Linked DNA regions of Lepisosteus oculatus. The protein of the gene in region 1 interacts with the protein of each later gene in a pairwise test. Links are inferred from orthologs where the notes say so. Each region holds a gene or a part of one and is shown in the gene's direction. Other genes may lie near its edges.

Region 1 (7,792 bases):
GGAGAACCGTGAAGACAAGGGGAGAACCAGGGAGAGACGCCCTGTTCGTCTTCTGGGGATACATCACATTCACATCGGATACTTTCATTGTTTTTTTTTTTTCAAGAAGCGTTGTGGTGCTTTTTGGGGGTGCCCAGACTGACATGTGGGGTGGTTTCGGTGGGGGCAGTTGGCTCATCCCATGTGTCCTTTGAGGTGAGGTTGAGAGATGTGAAGGGGAGTTTGGGGGACAGGCGCCACTCTCCCTCTAAATGCTCACTTCTTTCCTCACTCTCTCCTGTCTTCCTATACTCCCCCTGTGTCTCCTGCAGAAAGACTGGGGCTGTCTCTCCAATTTGACCTGACTCTCCTCCCTGAGCACCTTCTCCCAGGGATTTTGGAAAGGAGCAGGGGTGTAATCCCAGTGTCCTGGCCAAATTTCCCATTGGCCTTTGCCAACCATGGCCTCCTAATAACCCCCATCTCTGAACTGGCTTCATCACTCTGTTCTCCCCCCCCCTCTGAGAGCTGGTGTGTGGGGAGCCCACTGGCAGATTCTCCATTTGGGGGCTGCACATTGGTGGCGGTAGTAGGATTCCTCATTACCTGTAAAGCGCTTTGAGTGGAGTGTCCAGAAAGGCACTATATAAGTGTAAAGATGTGGGGCCCCCCCAGCAGCTTGTGAAGCAGACAGTAGCCGTCATGTGTCTGACGTGGTGTGGAACCCCATCACTGTGGGGCTCAGTCCAGTGGGGTGCCAGGGTCATGCACTAGTGGTGAACTGCAGGGAACAGATGCCAGTGGGGTTTTGACACAGTCCTGGGTGTTGCACCTTCATGACTGTGGGGGCACCTCTGAGGGGAGGCGTGCAGGGTCCACCTGGGACACAGTGCCCCTGATCTTATCCACAGCGGAAACAGTGGGAGACTCCCAACAACATGATGTGAAGATCCGAGAATATAATTTTTTATGTTCTTCTCATTAGAAGACTTCTGATGAGGAGTGTTGTACTTTCATGTCTGGTTGTATGTTTTAAAGAAAAAAAAAAGTTAATTTGATGCCATTGCAACAGGATTTTTGTTTCTCTCTTGGCAGTGATGATGGCATTTCTGTTTGATGTTTTAAAGGATGGTACTGAGCTCTGGGGGGGCTGCTCTGTGATTATGGGGGTGTCTGGAGGGGCTTAGCCTTAGGGAGAATTGAGGGAGGGGGTTTGTCTTTCTCTCAGTGCACATTGGGGCTCCCCTGCCTCTTTACACACCCCAGACCATCTCGGTGTATCATTGAAACTCCAGTCAAGCCACACTACTGGAGCCCTGCCCTTTTAAAATGAGCGTCTCTGAGGTGAGGGGGTGTATGCAGCACCAGTAAGCAGGGAATGGAGCTGACCTGCACTTGTCAGGATTCGTTTGGCACTCAAGGCCTCCCCAGGGCACAGACGTTCAGGATAGTCAGTGGTGTTTCCTGCTGTATGTTAGCCCTTGCATTGCTTGTTCAGTGTGTGGAAGACGGGCTGTGTCCGGCTCTGGGCTCTGCCTCAGGCGGGCCTGTAGTGGACAGGGCTCAGCAGTAGCTCAGATGGTCTGCTCCATCGTCACGTCATGCCTGTTGTATTTGGGCCAGACTGTGGAGTTCCCCGTCTGCCTTCTTTGAAGCAATATAACCGTCAATGGCCAAAGTAATGTGTCTGTGAAACTGATCTTTTTTTCATCCAGAGTTTGCAGACTCGTTCTCGTTTAGTTTTCATCGCGTGTCCGAGTGTAGAAATGGGGAGATCAATCAGGGAGATGAGACACTACAAACACTGTATCACGAGCTGCAGTTGCTCCTGACCTTGCCTGCCAGTGGCCCCTGTGTTGTGCTGTTGTATCCGAGTATTGACCTGTGTGGTATTGTGTGCTGATGGCTGCAGCACAGGAGAAGGCAGATGCTGACGTGCTGTAGCCCTTTCGGTTGACTTTTAACCCCTCTCTGTGTCCGGGTGGAATTCCTGGCTTATCCTGTGGTGAGAGGTTCGGCAGGGGTACAAGTAAACGTGGACACTGGTGAGCGCAGGTGGGGACAGACAGACTGGACCTCTCCCTCTGGCCCTGCAGGGTGCAGATACTCCCACAGTCAGCCCTGCTGGTAGAAGCCCTAAAGAGAATTGCTCATACTGTGACTCTTTCGAGCCCGCATGACTTCCTTATCCACCATTAGTGTGACTCCTGCAATCATCGTTTCGATTGTTTTTCTCCGATTCCCTTTTTCATACCAGCCGGACCTACAGGTAGTTTAAAAATCACCGATGGGGGGGGGGCAGGTTGTTGAAAAGATTGAGGAAGAGGGGGGCAGCAGAGTGACCAAGGACACAGCTTGGAAGAGCGAAGGCAGGCAGGTTGCACTGTACGTCTTCCCGAAAGAGGGAGGGGTGAGGGATGTGCAGCCTCAGCACTGCTGAGCAAAGGACTGAGTGGCTTCTCTTTCTTCCTGAGGGACGGCTTTTCACACGCAGGTGTCTTGGACATGAGAACATGAGACAACTCTTTGTGTAAATGCTGTCCTGATTAGCAGATCTCATCTAGTTGTTTCCTGGAAGAAGCCAGGTTATCAGGTTCAGCAACATGGCTGGACGGCTTGTTCCAAACTCCTACAGCCCCCAGATGTGTGATGTGTGCCTGTTTGTTTGTTTTTTCCTCTCTCTTTAAATGCAGACAATCCTGAGCTGTGATGGGTTTGTAGAGTTAGAATCAGGTCACTGTCCTGGCTGGGTCAGCACCTGTGTCCACTTCTGTTTACAAAAAGAAGATGACACCGGGAAACTCTGAAGTCTATTGTGAAGTGTCCCAATCTTCTTGTGCTGCTGCTGCGTAGGCCGAAGATGTAATTGTGTCGGCAGCAGGGGATCATGTGCTTCTCCTGTCCGGCGGGATATTTCCACATCTCGTCACTGAGGCCGGAGACGCAGCACAGCCAGAGCTGCAGGCCCAGATCGTTGCGGTCCTCGCTGTCCTCTCCGCACCAGATCTGTTCCACGGTGTTGAGTGTGTGTGGCCCTGGCCCTAGCACTTCTGCCCCTCCCAGTGGTGTCTCCTGTAGGAGCTGAATATGGGGAACTTTTCACAGTATTTCTGCCTGGGCCTGGTCCTTCATGCTGGCCACCTGTATTTGCTTTTTAGTGGTCTGATTTGCTCTGTACTACATTTTACTGTGTTTTTACTACAGTAAAACCACAAGATGCTGTGATGAGTGTGACTCTGTTCAGCCAGTAATGGATTCAGATGGGCGATACTGCAGTTTCTCGTCCTGGCCACTTGGTGTCGCTGTTGAGGGTGCTGTAACAGCCTTGCATATGTCTGTGATGGCATGACTCTAGGATTTTGTTTTTCCAAGGCCAGTTATTCCCACAGTAATCGGGGGGTGAATAACTTTCCCCTGTACCCCAAAGGGTTGGGGACCACTGGGCCAGACAACACTGCTCAGTATGTACTAGGGGGACCTGTCAGGGCATGCTGAACATGCTTCAGTTCACTGAGCAGTCTGAATACCCCAAAAGCTCTTGGCTGAGCGGTGAACAATTCTTAGCTATTCCCCAAAACTGTTGTTGCACCTGTAGCCGTTCTGCAAGGTGTTTTGTGTTGTCTTGACCCTGTTTGCATTTTGAGCAAATACTTGCAAGGTGACCTTGTCTTCTCAAAAGCAATACACGCTTCCCCTGCATCCTGAAAGTCGTCATGTGTGTTTTAAGGGGTGCAACATCAACCAAGAAAAGCCAAAGGTGTGAAAAAAGACATTTCTTCCTTCTTTTTTTTTACAGTTGAAGCAGTTTTGGAAAACTGAAGCTGGGAGTTTGATTTGGAGCTTAGGAGTAGTTCAGCAAAGATGTACTGTAAGCAAGCTAAAAAGCTCTGAAATCTGTTTTTCGGTGCACACGCAGTATAGATCGTCAGTATAAGCTCCACAGCTGTACTGGTCTACTGTACTCCTGGTACGTTTGGAGGGGGGTTCCCTCCCTGTCCGATTGAGTCAGGCTGTGGTTCTGAAAGATGTCCATCGCTGCCGTGGTACTTCCTGCTGTTTAGCTGCATCTGAGTGAATAGTTTCCTTAAGGCGCTAAGGACAATTCAGAATTTCCTGTTCAATCCAGTAAGACGCACTGTTCCAGCTGTCACTCATGGTCATACATCCCTTCTGACATCACCATTACCTTAGAGCACGGGCCATGTGTTTCAGGAGGTCGAAGGTCACCTGAATATCATTCAATGTAGCACGTATGACTATGAACAGAAGGATACTGCAGTAAGGAATCCTACTGTACATGGGGCAGTCAGAATGTCCACTTAACCACCTTCGCTGTAGGATTTTGTACAAAGCAATAGAGCTGTAATGCTCTGTGAATGATGTAGGTGTGCAAACCAAACACATCATGCACCCCACATTTCAGCTTCCATTACCACCCCACACAAGCTGGTTACAAGCAATGAATTTGTAAGTTATTGTAATTTTTTTATTCAATTTGACAATGATGCATTTGTTGCTTATCTGTTTGTTTGTTTGTTTTTTCTTTGGACATTTTTTAATTAAATGTTTTAGAAATGTTCATAGTATGCAATCTGTAAAAAATAATCTACATGTCTAATGTACATTGTAAGAGCTATTAAAAACTTTGAAGGAGTGAAGCTGGATCTGTGCAACTTTTGTTTTTGGCTGGTCAGTATGTCTGCAGCAGGGCTGTCCAGTCCTGGTCCTGGAGGGATGGTCAGTGTGTCTGCACCAAGGGCTGTCCAGTCCTGGTCCTGGAGGGATGGTCAGTGTGTCTGCACCAAGGGTTGTCCAGTCCTGGCCCTGGAGGGCTGGACACTGTGTTTACAGGTTTACAAGGTCTTTTCAGACAGCAGTACTAAAGCAACACCATTAGTGGACACTAGTGTAGATGTCCTGTCCAGGAGGTATTTTTTCTTTTACCTATAAATAAGCTTGCTAAACTCTCCAACTTTATTTCTGAGGTCTCAGAATGTTGCAGGGTGCAGTGGATGTGAGAACAGTGAGGGCTGATTGAGAGACATTTTCAGAACGTTTGGACACATCTGGACTCTGGATTCTATACTTCTGCCTCCTACTGGTACACCAACCACGCCACATGTGTTCTGGAGAAAATGGTCAAGGAGCGGGTGTGCAGAAGGTGTCTCTATACATGACTTGAGTGTGGGTGTTGCAGTGTGGGGATCTTGGCGTGTTTCAGTGCTGTGAGCACTGGTTGATCTCTCGGCTGCTCAGGCATATGTACCAAGGAGGGCAAACTGTAGTGTTGTCTTCATCTTCCAGGGGTCTACTGAATTCTTTAAAAAGAAATAGCATGAAAACAAAGTCTTATAAAAGCTTGTTTTATTTTTTGTTTGGTTATGGGTCAAGGAGCATATGAAAACCGCGAGAATGAAGATCCCAGGTTTTAAATATTTAATATTTCTATGAAATCGGGTTGTTAGTCTGAAGGATAAATTTCATTCTAGTGATTTTTCCTCAGCCTTTTTGATTATATTGGTAAGGTACTCAGTCTTTACCTAAACGGAAGCTTTGTCGAATATTGGCGAAGAGAAGAGCGGAAAGCAACAGAACATTTTTATTTAATGTTTAAATTAAAATTACGTACGCACGTCTCCTTTTCGATCGATGCTTTCTCTATCGAGTGGTTTTCCTACAACGCCGCAAAGCGGATGCAAGCGATCGACTTCTAATGCCTGTGTTTTCAAGATGGCTGCGCCCGTTCTGTCCGCACATGAAGTTTTTGCCGAGGGGGTTCGTGCTGTTTTGGAGACGTGGCCGGTGCTGCAAGTGAGAACAGTTTTTCTTTCAGTCTTAAAACCAGTTTTTCTCGTTTCTATAGGTGTATTTTGAGTCTTAATTAACGGGGGTGTCAGGACAAATGCACTCACACATGATCGTGTTTGAGTTAACACGGTCTGGCCGGTCGATACCACAAATAGGGTCGATTTGCTATGAAATTCTGTAACACAGCAGTGAATTGTAGTATAAATCTTTATTATATTTAAATTTCATTGAATTTGGCTGTTGATTTACTGTAACTTTCTATTATAAAAATGTTTTAACCGTCTTTTTACTGTAGTCTACTGTAACACAACCTGTTTAAAAAGCAGTCCTGAGTTTAAAAGTATTGTAAAGACCGCGGGCTTCGGTACGGAATGGAGCAGGCGTATGACTCAGGGAATGGGGTTGAACAACACATTTAATAACCAGAGCCGGGGAACGGTAAACACACAGGGACAGGGGTTACAGCGCTGCACCTACGTGAAGGGAAGAGCGGTCTCCCAGCCCCCGTCCCACTATAAACAGTCCCGTAGTCCCGCCCCCAGGCGATGGGGCTACAGTATTTATTTTAATATACTGCTGCAGCCCCCTTTCTGTCACGACTGTTTACTTCTGCTTTGTCTAAGATTGCGGTTGACAATGGATTTGGGGGTGCACACAGCCGACAGAAAGCTGATTGGATGGTGGACGCTGTGCAGCAGTATTTCCATGACAACAGTGAGTGGTTTTTATTTTGTGTGACCAGCGCTTCTCCTCTGACTGTGTGCTCTCTGTCCAGCGCTTCTCCTCTGACTGTGTGCTCTGTGTCCAGCGCCTCTCCTCTGACTGTGTGCTCTGTGCGTGTCCAGCGCTTCTCCTCTGACTGTGTGCTCTGTGCGTGTCCAGCGCCTCTCCTCTGACTGTGTGCTCTGTGTCCAGCGCCTCTCCTCTGACTGTGTGCTCTGTGCATGTCCAGCGCCTCTCCTCTGACTGTGTGCTCTGTGCGTGTCCAGCGCCTCTCCTCTGACTGTGTGCTCTGTGTCCAGCGCCTCTCCTCTGACTGTGTCCTCTGTGCGTGTCCAGTGCCTCTCCTCTGACTGTGTGCTCTGTGCGTGTCCAGCACCTCTCTTCTGACTGTGTGCTCTGTGCGTGTCTAGCGCTTCTCCTCTGACTGTGTGCTCTGTGTCCAACGCCTCTCCTCTGACTGTGTGCTCTGTGCGTGTCCAGCGCCTCTCCTCTGACTGTGTGCTCTGTGCGTGTCCAGCGCCTCTCCTCTGACCGTGTGCTCTGTGCGTGTCCAGCGCTTCTCCTCTGACCGTGTGCTCTGTGTCCAGCGCTTCTCCTCTGACTGTGTGCTCTGTGTCCAGTGCCTCTCCTCTGACTGTGTGCTCTGTGCGTGTCCAGCGCCTCTCCTCTGACTGTGTGCTCTGTGCGTGTCCAGCACCTCTCCTCTGACTGTGTGCTCTGTGCGTGTCCAGCGCTTCTCCTCTGACTGTGTGCTCTGTGTCCAGCGCCTCTCCTCTGACTGTGTGCTCTGCGTCCAGCGCCTCTCCTCTGACTGTGTGCTGTGTTCTCTGTGTTGTGCAGCTGACCTGGAGCAGGATGAGGTTGAGGACTTCCTGGCAGAGCTGATGAACAATGAGTTTGACACTGTGGTGGAGGATGGCAGTCTGCCACAGGTATACGCACTCCTGTACATAAGACCAGCTGCTGCACAGAGTATGCAGGGCTGAACAGCAACCCACAGTTCCTTGCTCTGCCATTTCACCCATTGCTTTTACCCATTAATAGGTTTGCTAATTATAAATTCTATTACTTTCCATTCTGGGGTCTGTGTCCTCTTGGAGTGGATGTGAAAACGGTAAGGGATGATTGAGAGAGACCTGTAGAAATCAGGCTGTCCAGATCTTAAGTCACCTTAAGGGTCTCATTGTTTTCTTCTGTATGTCCAATAGGTGGCGCTAGAACTGCGTGAGCTGTTTGGGAAGTGTCAGCAGGGGCAACTGGCGGAGGTGAGGGACCGGATTGC
Region 2 (8,078 bases), on another chromosome or scaffold:
ATATGTAACAGTGACCAAAGTTAGTATGATTTTTCCAGCACATAACTAGAGTCAATTGTTTTTGTCTACTGAATTCCACCCACAGTGCAGGGTTGTAGCTGAAATATACATGCCCAAAGAGCACCAAGATGGCAATGATGGTTATTTCTTACAATCAAGAAATTTGTATGTGTTGAGATGATATGAGAGAAGTACAATATATGTTTTTTTCTGTTTTGGTCATTCTAGGTGTACATGTGATCTTATTAGAAAACAAAACATGTTATGTTCAACAAAGCATCTTCAGAGAGTTTCACTAAGAATTATACCACTGACAGCTTAAGATACCATATGGGGACACGTGCACGTCATATACTGCACTGCATCTTTCAGAGTGTATATTGGAAGTTAGTACTGAGCTGCATATACCTTTGAGGCTATAAATGCACAAAGTCTGTCACTCTTGGGGCTTTTGTATGATCATTTGAGATAATAAACCATGGCTCACTTTGGCCATTAGTAGAATGAGATGACAATGGGCAAACTGAACGGGAGGCATATATAGTTTATTTCAGTGCACAATCCCAGTATCTGCACTTTGTTTGACTTCTGATTTTGAATTCACCAAAACTATCTGATTGTCACCTAGAAGCAACTAGAAGAGAATATTTTCTGTGCCACATGTTTACAGAGTGTTTCCCTGGATGTTGAAAACACTGTCAGCTTCATTAGAAGCAGTGCAATATGATGGAACTCAATAACAGTATGAAGCCACAGTGATTGTAAGAAGTGCTTTACTGTTCTTGCCACTAATAAAGGTAACAATCAGGGGGCAGGACATACTTTCTTTAGGTGAAAGTTTTTTAATGAGGACCTAAAAAATTTTGAAAAGAGGGCACCAATGACTGTTGTATAGCTGGAGAAATTCTAAGCATGGCTCGGCGCAGCTAGGTTTTAGTTTCATTTGGCTCTGTAACCTGAAACTTGGCACGTGCTGCAAGTGTTTGAAGAAATAAACAGACAGAAATAAACAGCTTAGGAAGCTGGTTTCCCTCTAGAGGATTTATACTGGAGGATGCAGAATCAGCCTGGGCTGAGGAGACTTGGCTCCTGCCCCACTGCCACCGTATCCACTGCACAATCCCAGTACACCCAGTACAGCCCAGCCAGTCACCTTGTTCTTGATCTCGTCACGCGTGCTCTGATAGTCCTGCCGCGCATCGCTGTCCAGCTCGGCAAAGTTCTGCTCCATGGAGAACATCACATCCTCCAGGTAGGAGCACTCCTGCTGCTGCTGGGCCATGATCAGCTCCCTGCTCATACACACACCACACGCGGTCAGGGCTGACTGAGGGAGGAGACAGGGAGGGCTGAGAGAGAGGGAGACAGGTGGAGGAGACAGCGAGGGAGGAGAGAGGAGGCAGACGGATGAAACAGAGAGGGTAGTGAGGATAAAGAGACAGAGGGAGGAGACAGGGAGGGGACAGACGGAGGAGACAGCGAGGGAGCAGAGAGGAGGCCGACAGAGGAGACAGCAAGGGTAGAGAGATAAAGAGAGAGGGAGGAGACAGGGAGGAGAGATAAGGAGACAGAGAGAGAAGAAGGAGGGAATTGAGAGAAGGAGACAGACACAAGGAGATAGGAAGAGGACAGAGGGAGAAAAGGAGAGGTAAAGGAAGACAGAGAAGGAGGGACAAGAGGAGAGGTGAAGGAGAGGGAAAGGAGAAGCAGACAGAGAGGAGAGAGCTACCTCTCGGTGTTGAACTCCGCGCTCAGAGCCTCCAGCTCGCTGTCCCAGTGCTGCTCGAGTGCCTGCAGCCGCCCCCGCTGCAGCAGCAGCAGCCGGTCCACACACCGCAGCTGGGAGCGCAGGGCCTTGGCGGACTGCTCCTCTGCCTCGTTCAGGTCGCTCACCAGGGACTGCCGGGCACAGCGGCTTTCGTTAGCAGGCTCTGAGCTGACACTGCTGTCCACACAGATCCCCTCAGAGCTGTCACACTGGCCTCAGCTCGGATACTGCTGCAGATACCACCGACAGCAGGACCTTGCTCAAAGGTCTCATCCGAAAGATGGAGCACGAGAGGGTTCACACAGAGAGTCAGTAGCAGAGCAGACAGTCCCTCTCCATGACTCCCTGAGCTCCCAGTCGAAAGTACGACCTGACCCAATGCTAGTGGCTCTGAGCCCCGGGACAGCCCACCTTGATGACGCTGTCCTTGCGGTCCAGCACCCTCTCGAAGGTCTGGCTGAGCACAGCAATGTCCCGGCGCAGCTCCTCTGCCCGAGCCCGGCGCAGCACTGCCCGCCACTGGACCGTCAGCTTGGCCAGGTTCACTGCAGTGCTGCGCTCCTCCTTCTGCAGCTTGTCCTGGGGGCAGAGGGGACAGAGAAGGACAGGGATCAGCTGGGAGAGGGGGACAGAGAGACCGAGGAGAACACGCACAGGGATCAGCTGGGAGAGGGGGACAGAGAGACAGAGGAGAACAAGGACAGGGATCAGCTGGGATAGGGAGACAGAGAGACTGAGGAGAACAAGGACAGGGATCAGCTGGGATAGGGGGACAGAGAGATTAAGAGAGACAAGGGGACTGTGCTCAGTGTTGTGCTCTGTGCTGTGCTCAGGGGGACTGTGCTCTGTGCTGTGCTCAGTGCTATAGTTACCTTGGGCTATGCTCAGTGTTGTGCTCTGTGCTGTGCTCAGGGGGACTGTACTCTGTGCTGTAGTTAGTTCAGGCTGTGCTCTGTGCTGAGCTAAGGAGTGACTGTACTCTGTGCTGTGCTCAGGGGGACTGTACTCTGTGCTGTAGTTCGTTCAGGCTGTGCTCTGTGTTGGGCTAAGGGGTGACTGTGCTCTATGCTGTAGTTAGCTCGGGGCTGTGCTCTGTGCGGGGTTCAGGGGGACTGTACTCTGTGCTGTAGTTAGCTCAGGCCTGTGCTCTGTGCTGGGTTCAGGGGGACTGTACTCTGTGCTGTAGTTAGCTCGGGGCAGTGCTCTGTGCTGTAGTTAGCTCGGGGCTGTGCTCTGTGCTGGGTTCAGGGGGACTGTACTCTGTGCTGTAGTTAGCTCGGGGCTGTGCTCTGTGCTGGGCTGAGGGGGGACAGTACTCTGTGCTGTAGTTAGCTCAGGGCTGTGCTCTGTGCTGTAGTTAGCTCGGGGCTGTGCTCTGTGCTGGGTTCAGGGGGACTGTACTCTGTGCTGTAGTTAGCTCGGGGCTGTGCTCTGTGCTGGGCTTAGGGGGGTACAGTGCTAACACCCCCACCTTGAGGAACTGGGTCAGCATGTCCTCCTTCCTCTTGCTGAGCTCCTCCTCCGCCAGGGCCTTCTGCTGCAGGAACAGCAGACGCTCCTCCTCGCTCATGGCTGCCAGCTTCCCGGCCTTCTTCCCGCCCTTCTTCGGCATCTCGCTGCTCACCGGGCACCTCTGCCCTCTGCCCGGCCGGTCAGGGCCTCACCTCGCTCCCCGTCCGAGATCCAGAAATGACTGCGCTGCTTTACAAGCTCCAGCGCTTGGAGCAGCTGTCGCCGCTGCATGTTTAAGTACACGCATGTATGTTTGAAGAAGCCATTGAACAATGATATAAAAAAAGATATTTATTACATTCGGTTCGTTTCTGTAACTAGGACGCATGGTACAGAATTGCATATCTATTTGCCAAACATTTCCACAGATGAAACCCTACCGTCGGTGCACGGTCGATAACCAGCGCAATACGCCCGCAGTAAAAGATGTCTGTGACAGGTGTATTTAGTAGTGTTCTGAACGGTGTGTGTACTGTAGCCGTAATATGTGCAGGCGACTGTTTTTACCTGAATGTCCGGAGAGCCGAGCCCAGGGAACTGACCGGTCCGCTGCCTTCAGTTTACACTCGTCTCCTAGCAACGGCCTGCGCGACGTCTGGCGTTCCCAATTTGTGTGGCGCCACCTAACGCGCGAAGGTGGTACTGCAGCGACACCACAGTCCGGGTCTAGAGTAGGGAGACGCGGGAGGGAGATTGAAAAATGAGCGGTTTTCACTGCACTTTAAAAAACATTTCTGCCGTCAGTAGTTCTTTATTTTGAAATTAAGGGAAATGTTCATTTTAATCTAGGGTGCGCGGTCTTATTGTTACTTTTAAACTTTGACAGATCGTCAACTGCTTGTGGGTACATTGTCCCCGTGTTAATAATTCGATTCTGTTGTACTCAGTTAAACTTATCACATTCTATGTAGTTCTCAATGTATAAGGTTTTTTATAAATGATAGCGAGGCACGGTTTGGGTTGTTGCTGTAGCTGATTGTGTTCTCTGCGAGCCGGGACAGCTGCAGCCTGAGATCCGCTCACCTGTCTGAATGCGTGGGAATAAGGGAAAACCGCTTCTCCAAGAACCGCGACTCGGTAAACGAATTCATACAGCTCCCCGATTCAGAGCACACCTGGGTGGGAGCTACTGCACTGTATTTCATTGTCATGTGTTTCTCACTCCCATACTGTACTGTTTCAGACCCCTGTACCGCCCGCTCCTGTCGTACTGTACTGTACTGTGTCTCAGACCCCTGTACCGCCCGCTCCTGTCGTACTGTACTGTACTGTACTGTTTCAGACCCCTGTACCGCACGCTTGTGGTGCGCTGTATTCCACTGTACTGTTCTGGAGCTCTGTGTTCTGTGTAAACATGTGTTTACTGAATATTACTGTTGTTCACCTCTGTACACTGTACAGCATCATATTAGAACTATCCTTAAATAGGAACAAGTAAAGGTTTATTCCATACTGAAAAGAAAAGAAACAAAGTTACAGCTGTGGAGCCTTCGTGTGTGTTACTTGAACTATCCTTTCATATTAGTGTACCGTATATGGTCCATAATGTGATTTTTCGTTCATTGAAGATAGGAAAAAGATAAGAAAAACATTACTGGACTTTTTTTATTATTATGGGAGCTCTCAAAGAAAACGAACAATACTCAAAAAATTTAGATATCTATGGTGAGGACCTGTTCATGGTGCACTGTGGGATAGGAACACACCACTCACGTTCAAAGGTCCGCTCTTGGGATCCTTCCGAGAGAAAACAGTCCGCTCCTTCATAAACATGTATCACTGATAATTAACCATAATACTGTTCTCTCATGTGTATATATGTGGGACTTATTTTTCACACGTTTCGGAAAAAAATAAACACATTTGGAGCTCTTGGGGTCCCGAAAAACGGAGGAATAGTCCGTGCGGAGGAGGAGTATAAATTCGGCGGAGCTGCGGAAGCCGGTCCTCTTTCTAGCCTCCTGTTCAAGATGGTGAGTGAGGCACAGCGGCGCGTCTGGGCCCTCTGTAGGGTGAAAAATGGTTAAAAATCACAAAATACTCTTGTATTTCCCGTCTTTTTGCAAAAGTAGAAAGTATAAACGGCGTCCGATGCCGAGTTTGAGGGAGAAGAAGTTCTGGCACAAAATGCGTTGCGGTCAGCGCGGAAGGAAGGGTAGACGCGTGGAGGATTGCTTCTGGGCCTCGTGTAGGAGAGAGGCGGAGAAAAAATATATCTTCTCTTTGACCATCGAAGAGCGCGATACGTGTGTTGACCCGTTTTGTGAACCTGAGGGAATTTAAAAATTGCCATGTAGCGGAAAGTGATCGAGAAGTGCCTGGTTTGTCTTACGGATAGGCTAGTAATGAGAATAATGAGTTTGTCGCAGTTTAACGAGAGGGTATTCCGTCTGCGTCTCTTCGGTTTGAAGCCGGGCGTCAAGCTGCGGTGTAAAACCGGGCAGGACGATCTGGGCGGATTGTAGTCGCTTGACTACGACTTCCAGCGTTAGCCCGTCTGTGCGGTGTTGAATATGACCTCGGCTTAGTGAGTGCGATCTTTGTTCATTAAGCCGCCGCAAAGTGGAAATGCTATTCAGTGTTTCAGCTATTCACTTTGCCCGCCGCTCTGTGGGAGTGCCGGCGTAGTGGATTCGGGCGCACTGCAGAGGAGGTCGCCTGGCAGGGCCTGAGATCCTTCTCCAGCTGTCCTCGGTCGGTCTGTGAGGCCCCCTGTAGGAAGGTGTAGACTCTGTTGATGTTTAAGACGAGACTTGAAAACCCTCCGTTTTCCATGGGCTTTCATTCCTTACCCGTTTTTTTAATTTCTCCGTAATTAGCAAAGGAGCAAGTAGAGGTTTATTCCATGGTGAAAAGAACAGAAAAACGTTTTAGCTCTGGAGCCTTCTCCGGGTGTCGTGTTGTTTTTCTTCTATTTTCAGCCTAGAATAAACCCGTACCTGTTCCTTAGCAGCCTGTGCCTGCTGGCACAGCTACCTGCTTGAACTATTGTGTGATCAGTGTCAAGTTCCCTAGAGAGTGCTCTGTACTGAAAGGCACTATATAGGAATGTATAGTATTGGAGCATTCCTCTGCCCCGAGTGAGATGAGCCTCCTCTCCTTTCCCCGGCAGACCAAGAAGCGAAGGAACAACGGCCGTGCCAAGAAGGGCCGTGGGCACGTCCAGCCCATCCGCTGCACCAACTGCGCCCGCTGCGTGCCCAAGGACAAGGCCATCAAGAAGTTCGTCATCCGGAACATCGTGGAGGCGGCGGCCGTCAGGGACATCTCCGAGGCCAGCGTCTTCGACTGTGAGTGCCTGGGCTGGGGTCCGGCAGCGGGGGAGCTGGGAGTGCCGCGGTCGGCCGTTTGGGTCTGGCGTGGCGTTTGGCAGACTGCTCAGTCCTCCCAGACACTCCGGGCATTTCAGGTCCGTCGCCCGGTTTGGAATCTGTAGCATTTGATTGTGTCTGAGGACAGTTTTTCCTGGGAAGACGACAGCAGATAAAATGCTGGAATGGCATCAGGGGTCAACAGGAGGGGTCCGAGGGGCCGTGCTCGCGTGGCAGGGTTCCAGGGCTCTGTGAGTGGTATATAAGGTTTCTGCAGTCCAATCAGTGTGAGGTAAGCAGAGATGGGTGTCCTCATCCTACATGTTGAAGTTGGAGCTTGGATGTTTCAGTTTGGCTTTTTACTGCTATCTGTGTGGAGTCTGTATGTTCTCCTCAGGTTTGTGTGGGTTTTTTCCAGGTGCTCTGGTTTCCTCCCGCAGTCCAAAGACAGGCTGGAAGATTATTTGTCTTGTTCCTGGTGTGAGTGGGTGTGTCTGCCCTGTCATGCACTGGCATCCCATCCAGGGTGTGCACTGACTTTCACCTGTTGCTTGCTGGGACAGGCTCTGGCTCCCCCCAAGGCCTGAATTGCATGAAGTAGTAAATTAATGTGGCTTTTTCCTTGTAGGTCTTATGGGTTTTAGGCTTTGTGCAGTGCTCTGATTTTTCTACGAGGGTGCTTTTTAATTCAGTTGCTGTTAAGATTGCAGCGCCTCTCTACAGGGCTGAGTGCGCTTGGCAGGGGCTGAGAGCTCCAGGATAGCATGTTATACAGTGAAGGTCAGGAAAGACCGTCACATTATTGGTCTGTTTAGCTAAAAGGGTTATGTAGAATCAGGAGAGTATTCAGCCTGCCTCACTCATTTGCTTGTCAGTAGCTTATTGATCCAGACGAGCAGATCCTTGAAGGACTCCCTGTAGTCTGCCTGAAGAGTTTGACAAGAGGCCCGTTCCTCATGCTGCAGAGGAGTAGGGGGCAGTAGAGCCTTGAAACGGTCCGTGTCCTGGCCTGCGCTCGCTCCTCTGAGGCCAGAATAGGCTAACCCTTTTCCAGTGGTGTCCTCTGCAGTGCAGGAGGCACTTGGGGGCAGGTGATGGTTTTCAGAATTGACTGTAAGAGATCTGCAGTGATGTGCCTGGATCCCTAAAATAAGCTGGTCGCCTGGTTGCTCGGAAGTTAATCCAAAAAACTCCGGTGGGGGAGAGACTCCCTGAGTTCACACTCTTGATTTCCTTGGGGTTGTACTGATCTAAGGATAAAGTGAGGAAAGTAATGTTTCCTGGTCTCTGATTTTTCACATATTATTGGGGAGGTTTGGCTTTATGCAAGTCTTGGTCCGGTGTGCTCGGACTCCATTTGAAATAAAACATGCTTGAGGCAGGAGGTCTGTAGAGCAAGGCTGTGTTACTGTAGGCACAGCACACACACATAGCACTGTTGAATCTTAATGCTAATAATGGGGCAGCCTTCTGCCCGCTTAGTGCCA
Region 3 (7,684 bases), on another chromosome or scaffold:
AATTTATTATTTAAGCGTGATAGTGGTTTTTGTTATGTAAAATAAAACAGTAAAAAAAACACAATTTAGTTTCTTTTAACTTTTTAACCTGGTGACATTCAAAAGTACAAAAATAGAAAATGATCAGATAACTTAATGTTGTATCAACATTAAGTCATCTGACCATTTTCTTTTTTTTTTACAATTTTAATCGGTTTTAAAATACGTTGAGTTTAACTTTCCTCTAGTTACCACACAGTGACAAAAGACTAATTCCAGCACCACTGCCAGTACAACACAATCTGTTTCTATCACAAATGCTCAAACTAAAGGCATGGCTGTCATGTTACGTGTTTGCATTGAAAAGCAGCAGCAGTACAATCGCTGTACTGACCGACTTGAAATTCGGCAGGTTTCTTGTCATTCATGAATACATCCCATCATATTCATTTTCAATCAAAATCCAACCAAAATATCTTATATTTTCACTACATTTCAGATATTGTATTATATAAGATCTGTATCTTGACCTGAATGAAAATAACGGTACTGAGTCTATGGCTGCTACTGTATGGCTCTCAAATCCGATTTTATGAAAAAAGATTTGTAAATCTCTTCTTCACGTGTATAGCAAATTGTACAGCTGTACAGCTGTGTGCATAGTCCTCCCGTGACCACAGTTATGGCTGTCATGTTGCATTATTTACTAGGAACATTTTCGTCAGGGACCCTTTTAGCAGATTAACAGGAAATTGAATTGTATATGCTTACATTGTACTGCCCCTAACAATGTAATTAAACATCAGGTTCTACATGAATACCTACACTAACCACCATGAGACATTCAATTTGTGGATTTTCTGCTAAAAAAGTGATTCCTATTCTCAGTGCTAAAAACACTTCCCTGTAACTTTCATTTCTGTCCTCTGTTGTGAGGTCCACTGTTGATTCTGAACAAATCCTTGAGACACTTAGTTGTTTTTGTTTCTCCAAGCATTGCTGCCACGTTCATCTCCCATCAGCTCCATTGGTTTATTTATGTTGTCTCTTAGCTTAATCATGACAATACATCAAGTGTATAAATCATAACATTATCAATTCTTTGGAGATTATGGCTTTTTAAAAACCCAGAAGGAGGAAGAATATTTGGAATGAAGCCTAGCACTTTAAGAAACAAAGGTGTCAAACTGAGGAAGCAAGGCAAGAGTATCAAGGGGAGCTTACCATGATCATATTGCACACTATAAATCAGGATGCCTCCTGAGACAAGTTGTTACCTGCTCAAGTTGTCAGAGTGTGTGGTTCCCTGATTGGCTTTGTCAGTCCCCTTCGGATTCATGGAAGAAACTCATTCTCGTGAGATGGCAAGTGAGTAACAATGTGGTGTACAGTATATGCAGAATTTGTGTTTTTGTGAAATATTAGCATTTGTACTGTACATAGTTCTATATAACTACAGTACATTATCCTTTTTTGGTACAACAATGCTGTTCTTTCTTCTTCAGGTGCTTGGTATTAAAAAGTTGAAGAAAAGATTAATTTCCCACTTCAAAGTAAAAAGAAAATAAAACTCACTTGAAGAAGGTTCCCTTGCTGTAATGGTGTGTTGTTGATTCTCTCTTCTCATTGTAGAATTTGTGAATAGTCCATCACTTGCACAAATATTGCACTGGTAAGATTAGTTCATTTTTCAGGGATGGCATAAATGTTATGTAATTCCAATTTTAAGATTTTTCTTAATTAATCCGACATTCGTTTTTTTGGTTACTGCTTAAAGAACCACTGCACGCTAGGTGTGGTCCATAAAAGGCTACAAACTGGTTATGACGATATTTTTATTTAGTTTGCCCAGAGCACCCAGTTCACTCCATTAATATTAATTTGTACTTCTAAAATAATCATGCAGTATAATTATTGTAATGCAATGCTTTATTACTTTAATAAGGTATTTTAATAAAAGACTGGAGCTGTTATCAAGCAGTTACCTGTTACCAGCATTCTTAGCATACTGTAACATGCAAATTATCTTAGATTAGACTTCAGTTATTCCATGATCAATAGTTCTAACAGAGAACAGAAGACAACAACAAAGATTATTTTACTGAGAGCTACAATTTAGACACATTTGCTAATTAGACTCAGCGGTGATATATCCTTATTAACGTAAATCAATTCAAGTGAAGAAAGGTGCAATCTGCATCTTGATTGTTTCAGTTCCTAACAGAAATTGCAGTTTACCTTGCATATTTTATTTGATTCTCATTATTTCTGATTTTCCTTCAAATGGAAAAGCTTCCTGGGTTTTGCTGACTGCAACAGTGTGTCTGTAGAAGTAAATAGTTGATATTTGTGCAGGACGGCATGCTAAATCATTCAAATGACTCTAAATAGGCCATTTTGGATACCGAATTACTGAATGCGTGCACCCTGGAATTAATTAATGGGATGAAGGGAAAACATATGCTGTAGATGCATTTCAAGCACTTAAAATCAGTCAGTAACCTTAGCCAATTAATGCAGAGACGCTTTTGAAAAGATCATTTAAAAGCATAAATTTTCTTCAGTTCTTATTCTGTGTATAGGCAACATCATGCTTATGGTTAAGGTATTCAATACTACCTTGGGGCAGTTTTTCCTCGTAGAACTAATACTGGCTATGGAACAACACAGAAATAGAAACAAATGTGCCTGATGGGTTTAACGGCCATCGAGCTCTTGTATGACCTTTCTAATGTTCTCATCCTTCTGAATGGAAACATCCCCTTTTTCTTCAGGAGAGTTTTGATTCCAGCTTTTTTTCACTGCGTTTTGCACATGTATGTCTATATCTCATAGAGTTTCAGTAATCTTGGAATACTTTTTGCTCATGGTGTGGATTTGACACCTGTGGTATAATGACACTAATATAGCCTTATTGAAGTGAACCACGTGGATTTCAAGTGCCCAGCAGAGTCTCGTTATTTTTCTCTGTCCAGTGTTGTACAGCTCTGGACTAGTTCTTCTGGAATATGTGGTCAATAATTTAGGAAAGTTCCATCATACTGTATAAATCAGAAGCTAAAGTAGTGACAAATAAATATGTTAAAGTATGTTGATGAATGGTGACTCGGTGGTGCAGATGTTGGCTTTGCTGCATTGTAGTGCTGGGGCCCTGAGTTATTGTACATGTGGTGCTATCTGTGTGGAGTTTGTATGTTCTCTTCAGCTTCATGGGGGTTTCCTCTGGGTGCTCCCCAGTGTGTCTGAAAGTGTGTGTGCAATGGACTGGCATCTCATTCAATGTTTACCTTGCCTTTCGCCTGTCAAACGCTGGCTCTGGTTCCCCGGCTACCCTGAATTGGATGAAGTGGTTGGAAAATGGATGGATTGATGGTGATGAATGTGATTTTCATCACCGTCTGATCAAATAGAAAATGCAAAATACAAACAAAACCCCATAATTATTCTATTGTTTGGCTTTGTAAATTAAATGCAGGAATTTACAGTACTGTATGTCAAGTGTATATTTTGTTTTTTTGTGCTTTGTTTTCTAAATAGCAGAACCACCAGAGCTTTGGAATATTCTATTAAGTCATTGTAGTGCACTTCTTCAGAAAGAACACTGAAACATGAACTAAACAACACAAGTGGAAACAACATGGAACAACATTGATCATTTAAAAATAATTCCAGTTATGATGTCTGTGAATTAAAAATGTGGGTGTTTACACTATGCCAATAGGTTATTTGCTGATCATTAAAATGACTCTGATTCCTTCTATTTTTTTAACAAGAAAAAGTTCTGCATGTTTTGTTGTAGCATATCCAGTTATGAGGTGATGCTCCCATCTTGTGGCAATAGGATGCACAGCAACATCTAGTTTCAGTGATGATTTCCAAAGCCTTTGTATTTGGTATCACTTTCGTATTCATTCTGGTATAGTTCTTTTGCCATAAGATAGTATATATTAGTAACGATTCTGAGCTGACTGTAGTGTGATTTTGTTTTGTAAAATGCTTAACAGAACAGAAGGAATTCATTAAGAAGTCGGTTGTGTTACAGTTTTCCGTTTAAAAAGTTTTTCAGATCTTTTTTTTTATCTGGAATGAATATAGAAAATCTTTCTTTTTGCAAGTTGGGGCTGCAGTACAGAACATTACTTATGTCAAATTCACTTTATATTGCATCTCAAATCATTATCTGCAATTTTGAGAGTGTGATTTAAAATTTGTCAAGCATTCCGCCTCTTACATTACTTGACAGATTTCAAATATTCACATATTTCATATTATTTTGATGTTTTACCATGTTGTTAGCATTTTAAATAAAGTACCTTCAAATTATTGTATAAAGATTCACATTGTTTAAATTTCTGCCAACATTTCAGTACCAATTGCCATGTAAATTATTTAAGTATTTGAAATCACTATTTTTCTTGTTTTGTTTTACAAATTGATCTTGGGCCCCATGAGGTAATCAAACAGCCATGGGTAGACCTCTTAAAGTAATCTTCTTAATTTCTTAAAGCTTCATTTGCAGGATTTTATTAATACAAATATGGGTCATTTAGAGTGATTGAATGACTTCTCATTCTGTCTTAAATGTACCAAGCCTTAATTTCCACAAGGGCTCCTCTGATTGGTGGGAGAGGGAGTACGTGGAACAGTAGGCAGTTGCTTACACAAAGAGAGAGGATTAACAAAGAAAAGAAAGAAAAGAAAATCTAGTTTTGTAGAGGATGCTGATTCAAATATCCTTCCAAAAGCCTTCTAAATGAAGCAGTGGCACTGCAAGCTACCAAAACTCTGATAATTATAATTTGCAAGACTGGCAACTTTAATGTTTTTTTGTATCTCTGCAGTTTACGATCAGAAATGGACACTTCTGCCTTCAATGTGACCAGTTCCAGTAAAGCCTTTTAGATAACATGCAATAGGCCCACGCTTTGTCCTTTCTTATGTTGCGCTTCCCAGTTCTTTCAAGGGCTCACCCTAGTCACGTGGGTGGTACCCTGGAGCGGTGCAGGATGGTCGCGGAAAGAAAATGGCGGATTTTGAGGAGCTGAGGGTAGGAGAAAGTATTAAATTAATTTCGTGTTACATAGAAAGAGCACTGAGCATCGTCGTAAAGCATTGGAATGATTGGGTATATCTGTTATGGAATCGTTACATTAGAACTGATATTTTAATTGGAGTTTACTAAGTGGAGACGTTAATGTCTGCCTCTTGTGTTTTGGTCGGAGGTTACGGTTTATTTGGTGTCTCGTAAAATAATTATATTATTAGGCCTGTTGAGTGTAACTTTTGAATTCTAATAGATGTGTCTTTAAGTACACATTTTCTGCTATTTGATTCATCATTGTTGTCGTAGATGTGTTTTTAGGTTTTATGAACGGTATTTTTTCCGCCAAAACATCTGGTCTAGACTGTTGTGTTGTACATATTTACAGCTTGTGCCAATTCTCGAAACCATGTAAGTAGCCTCTTCATCCGTATAGCAGATGCATTTCTACCGATTTCGAGATCAACCGTTTTGTCACCAGAACCGTGCAATCTGTTGTGAACTCCGTGCTTCTGATTATGGTGCCCTTTATCTCTTTATTATTCCAACTTTTAACTGTTGCTTAATCTCTGTTGCAGTGTGTTTGCGACAAGGACTGCTTACAGTACGTGTGTTGTCTGCCTTGTTTTTTTTCTTTTCCCGTTTTTAATGGGTTTTGGAATTATTCTTAACATTTTAGATGCTATACGATCACATTTGTTAAGGAAATGTAAAGAAAAAGGATTAACAAGTAAGAACAATCAAGCATGGACCATATAATGAAGGGTCAGTCGGGGTTTTCTTACTTTTTTTCTGTGGGTTTTTCAGATGGGATTTCTTGGGAGGGACGTGGTCATCAAACCACAGTTAAGGGGGAGAATTGTCAAATTGATGATGGATATTATAGATGTGTATGGGTGGAGTATAAACTACATGCCGCTCAGCGAGCAATGCAGAGCCGGTGGAACTCTACTGCTCCAGAGGTGACAGTCGTTTTCCCCCCGCCGTGCTAATAGACAAAGTACCGTTCACTCTCCTGAATGCACTCAAAATCCTGTACAGAAACCACACCTGGCTGCTTTCTAACGTCTACAGTGTGCCTTTGATGTACTTCATTTTATAAAGAATTCAAATCCGTTATTGGAGGAAATGTAAGCCTCATTCTTACATTCATACATAAGATGGCACTGAAGCATCCCTGGACTGACACAGTAAAAATAATTTAGTTGTTTGAGTATTTAATAGGAATAATTGGAGCTTCATAAGGTGCTGTCGCCGTAGAAAGTGTTTTGTACTTGTTTGTCACTTTACCCGCACATTGCTATAGTGGTGAACACTTCTAGTTCTTGAGCTCTTCAGGAGGTGGTTTAATCTCAATTAGTTCTTTGTGATGTTTTTCTTGCCTTTCTGCTTGTGATGTAAAATGATGATAAAGGAGCCCTGTAGCACAAGAGCTATGATTATTCAACACTTGTAGAGATGGTAGATTATCCTTTTATTATGGTGTCAATAGTATAATTTGCCCAGTGTTCTGCCTTGCTGAAGTTGTGCTGAACCAAATAAACACCCGTCAAATGTTTATATTTTTTGTATTTTTTCAGAATATGGTTTCAAGTTTTCGGGTCTCAGAGCTACAGGTTTTATTGGGCTTTGCAGGACGTAACAAGAGCGGTCGCAAGCATGAACTCCTTCTGAGAGCCTTGCACTTGCTAAAGAGTGGGTGCAGTCCAGCTGTTCAGATCAAAATTAAGGAACTGTATAGACGACGTTACCCCAGAACAATCGAAAGTCTCCCCGACTTGTCTGCCCTCAAGCCCTCCGGCTTCTCCCTGAATAGTAACTCTTCCCTCGTGGACCCGGACTTGGCCGGAGCCGGTGTGCATTCTCGCGCGCCTGGCTCGATCCCGCCGCACTCCGCAGCGCAGAGTCCTGTCCTGCTGCACGAGACGAAGCCCGGGATCGACATGCAGCAGCCGGCACCTCCCATCCCGCCTGTCCATCCTGACGTCCAGCTGAAAAGTTTGCCATTTTACGATGTGCTGGATGTCCTGATCAAACCCTCAAGCTTGGGTAAGCATCTGTCTCTTCTTTGCTCTGCACTGTGCATGCAAAATACTTTATTAGAAATTGCCCACTGTAATTGTAAATATAATAGAGTGCTGCTTTTAAGCAAGTAATCAATCAGTGATATTTCTTATATTTAGCTGTTTTTCTTTGCAACGCTAATTCAGATAATGACGTTCTAGAGTAAATTGTGAACAATTAGGCACTTTTGCTGGTTGTGGACTATAGGACATAAAGGAGCGTTATAATTTTATTATCTCCCTTATCTTATTTTTGAACAATCATCATACTGAATTTTGAGGGGTCTAATCAAATTTGCAAAATGAGTGAAAGCATTTCACCACGCAGTGTCTGCACTAGCAAATCTTTCCATAAGAACAATTTCTGCAAATGCAACCAGTGGCAATTTTAAGAATGTGACAGTCTCAACCCAACCTCGTGACACACGTTTTATGGCTGCACTTAGAAAAGATATTGCCTGATTATAGCTTTGGAATCATCATTGGGAAGGAGCAGTTGGCTTAATCTGTGGTGTAGGTTTGCACAACGTATGTATTTGTGCATTTTGCTATAAGAATAGAAAGAAGGCCAGCATGGAGAATGACCAGTCCCAAGAGACAT

What was found. The genes of interacting proteins can lie anywhere in the genome.
Region 2: the proteins of tsr2 (region 1) and rps26 interact in binary tests that used the Homo sapiens proteins (3 or more experiments, as listed by UniProt). The two-hybrid records come from large-scale screens. The link is inferred for Lepisosteus oculatus from reciprocal best matches to the Homo sapiens genes TSR2 and RPS26.
Region 3: the proteins of tsr2 (region 1) and pias2 interact in binary tests that used the Homo sapiens proteins (3 or more experiments, as listed by UniProt). The two-hybrid records come from large-scale screens. The link is inferred for Lepisosteus oculatus from reciprocal best matches to the Homo sapiens genes TSR2 and PIAS2.

Annotation. Positions count from the first base shown.
Region 1 is NC_090697.1:76,709,705-76,717,496, forward strand, and holds the start of tsr2 (pre-rRNA-processing protein TSR2 homolog), read left to right. Parts: upstream 1-4,739; 5' UTR 4,740-5,098; coding exon of another isoform or gene 5,099-5,140; 5' UTR 5,141-5,628; coding exon 5,629-5,790; intron 5,791-6,410; coding exon 6,411-6,501; intron 6,502-7,350; coding exon 7,351-7,442; intron 7,443-7,718; coding exon 7,719-7,792. Other genes in the region: cdk16 (cyclin-dependent kinase 16), read left to right, coding at 1-194. UniProt on the Homo sapiens protein: May be involved in 20S pre-rRNA processing.
Region 2 is NC_090696.1:21,768,690-21,776,767, reverse strand, and holds the start of rps26 (40S ribosomal protein S26), read left to right. Parts: upstream 1-5,073; 5' UTR 5,074-5,088; coding exon 5,089-5,253; intron 5,254-6,392; coding exon 6,393-6,570; intron 6,571-8,078. Other genes in the region: ccdc65 (dynein regulatory complex subunit 2), read right to left, coding at 1,154-1,292, 1,730-1,899, 2,180-2,347, 3,240-3,380.
Region 3 is NC_090698.1:40,483,278-40,490,961, forward strand, and holds the start of pias2 (E3 SUMO-protein ligase PIAS2), read left to right. Parts: upstream 1-4,679; 5' UTR 4,680-5,002; coding exon 5,003-5,026; intron 5,027-5,699; exon of another isoform or gene 5,700-5,785; intron 5,786-6,600; coding exon 6,601-7,069; intron 7,070-7,684. UniProt on the Homo sapiens protein: Functions as an E3-type small ubiquitin-like modifier (SUMO) ligase, stabilizing the interaction between UBE2I and the substrate, and as a SUMO-tethering factor.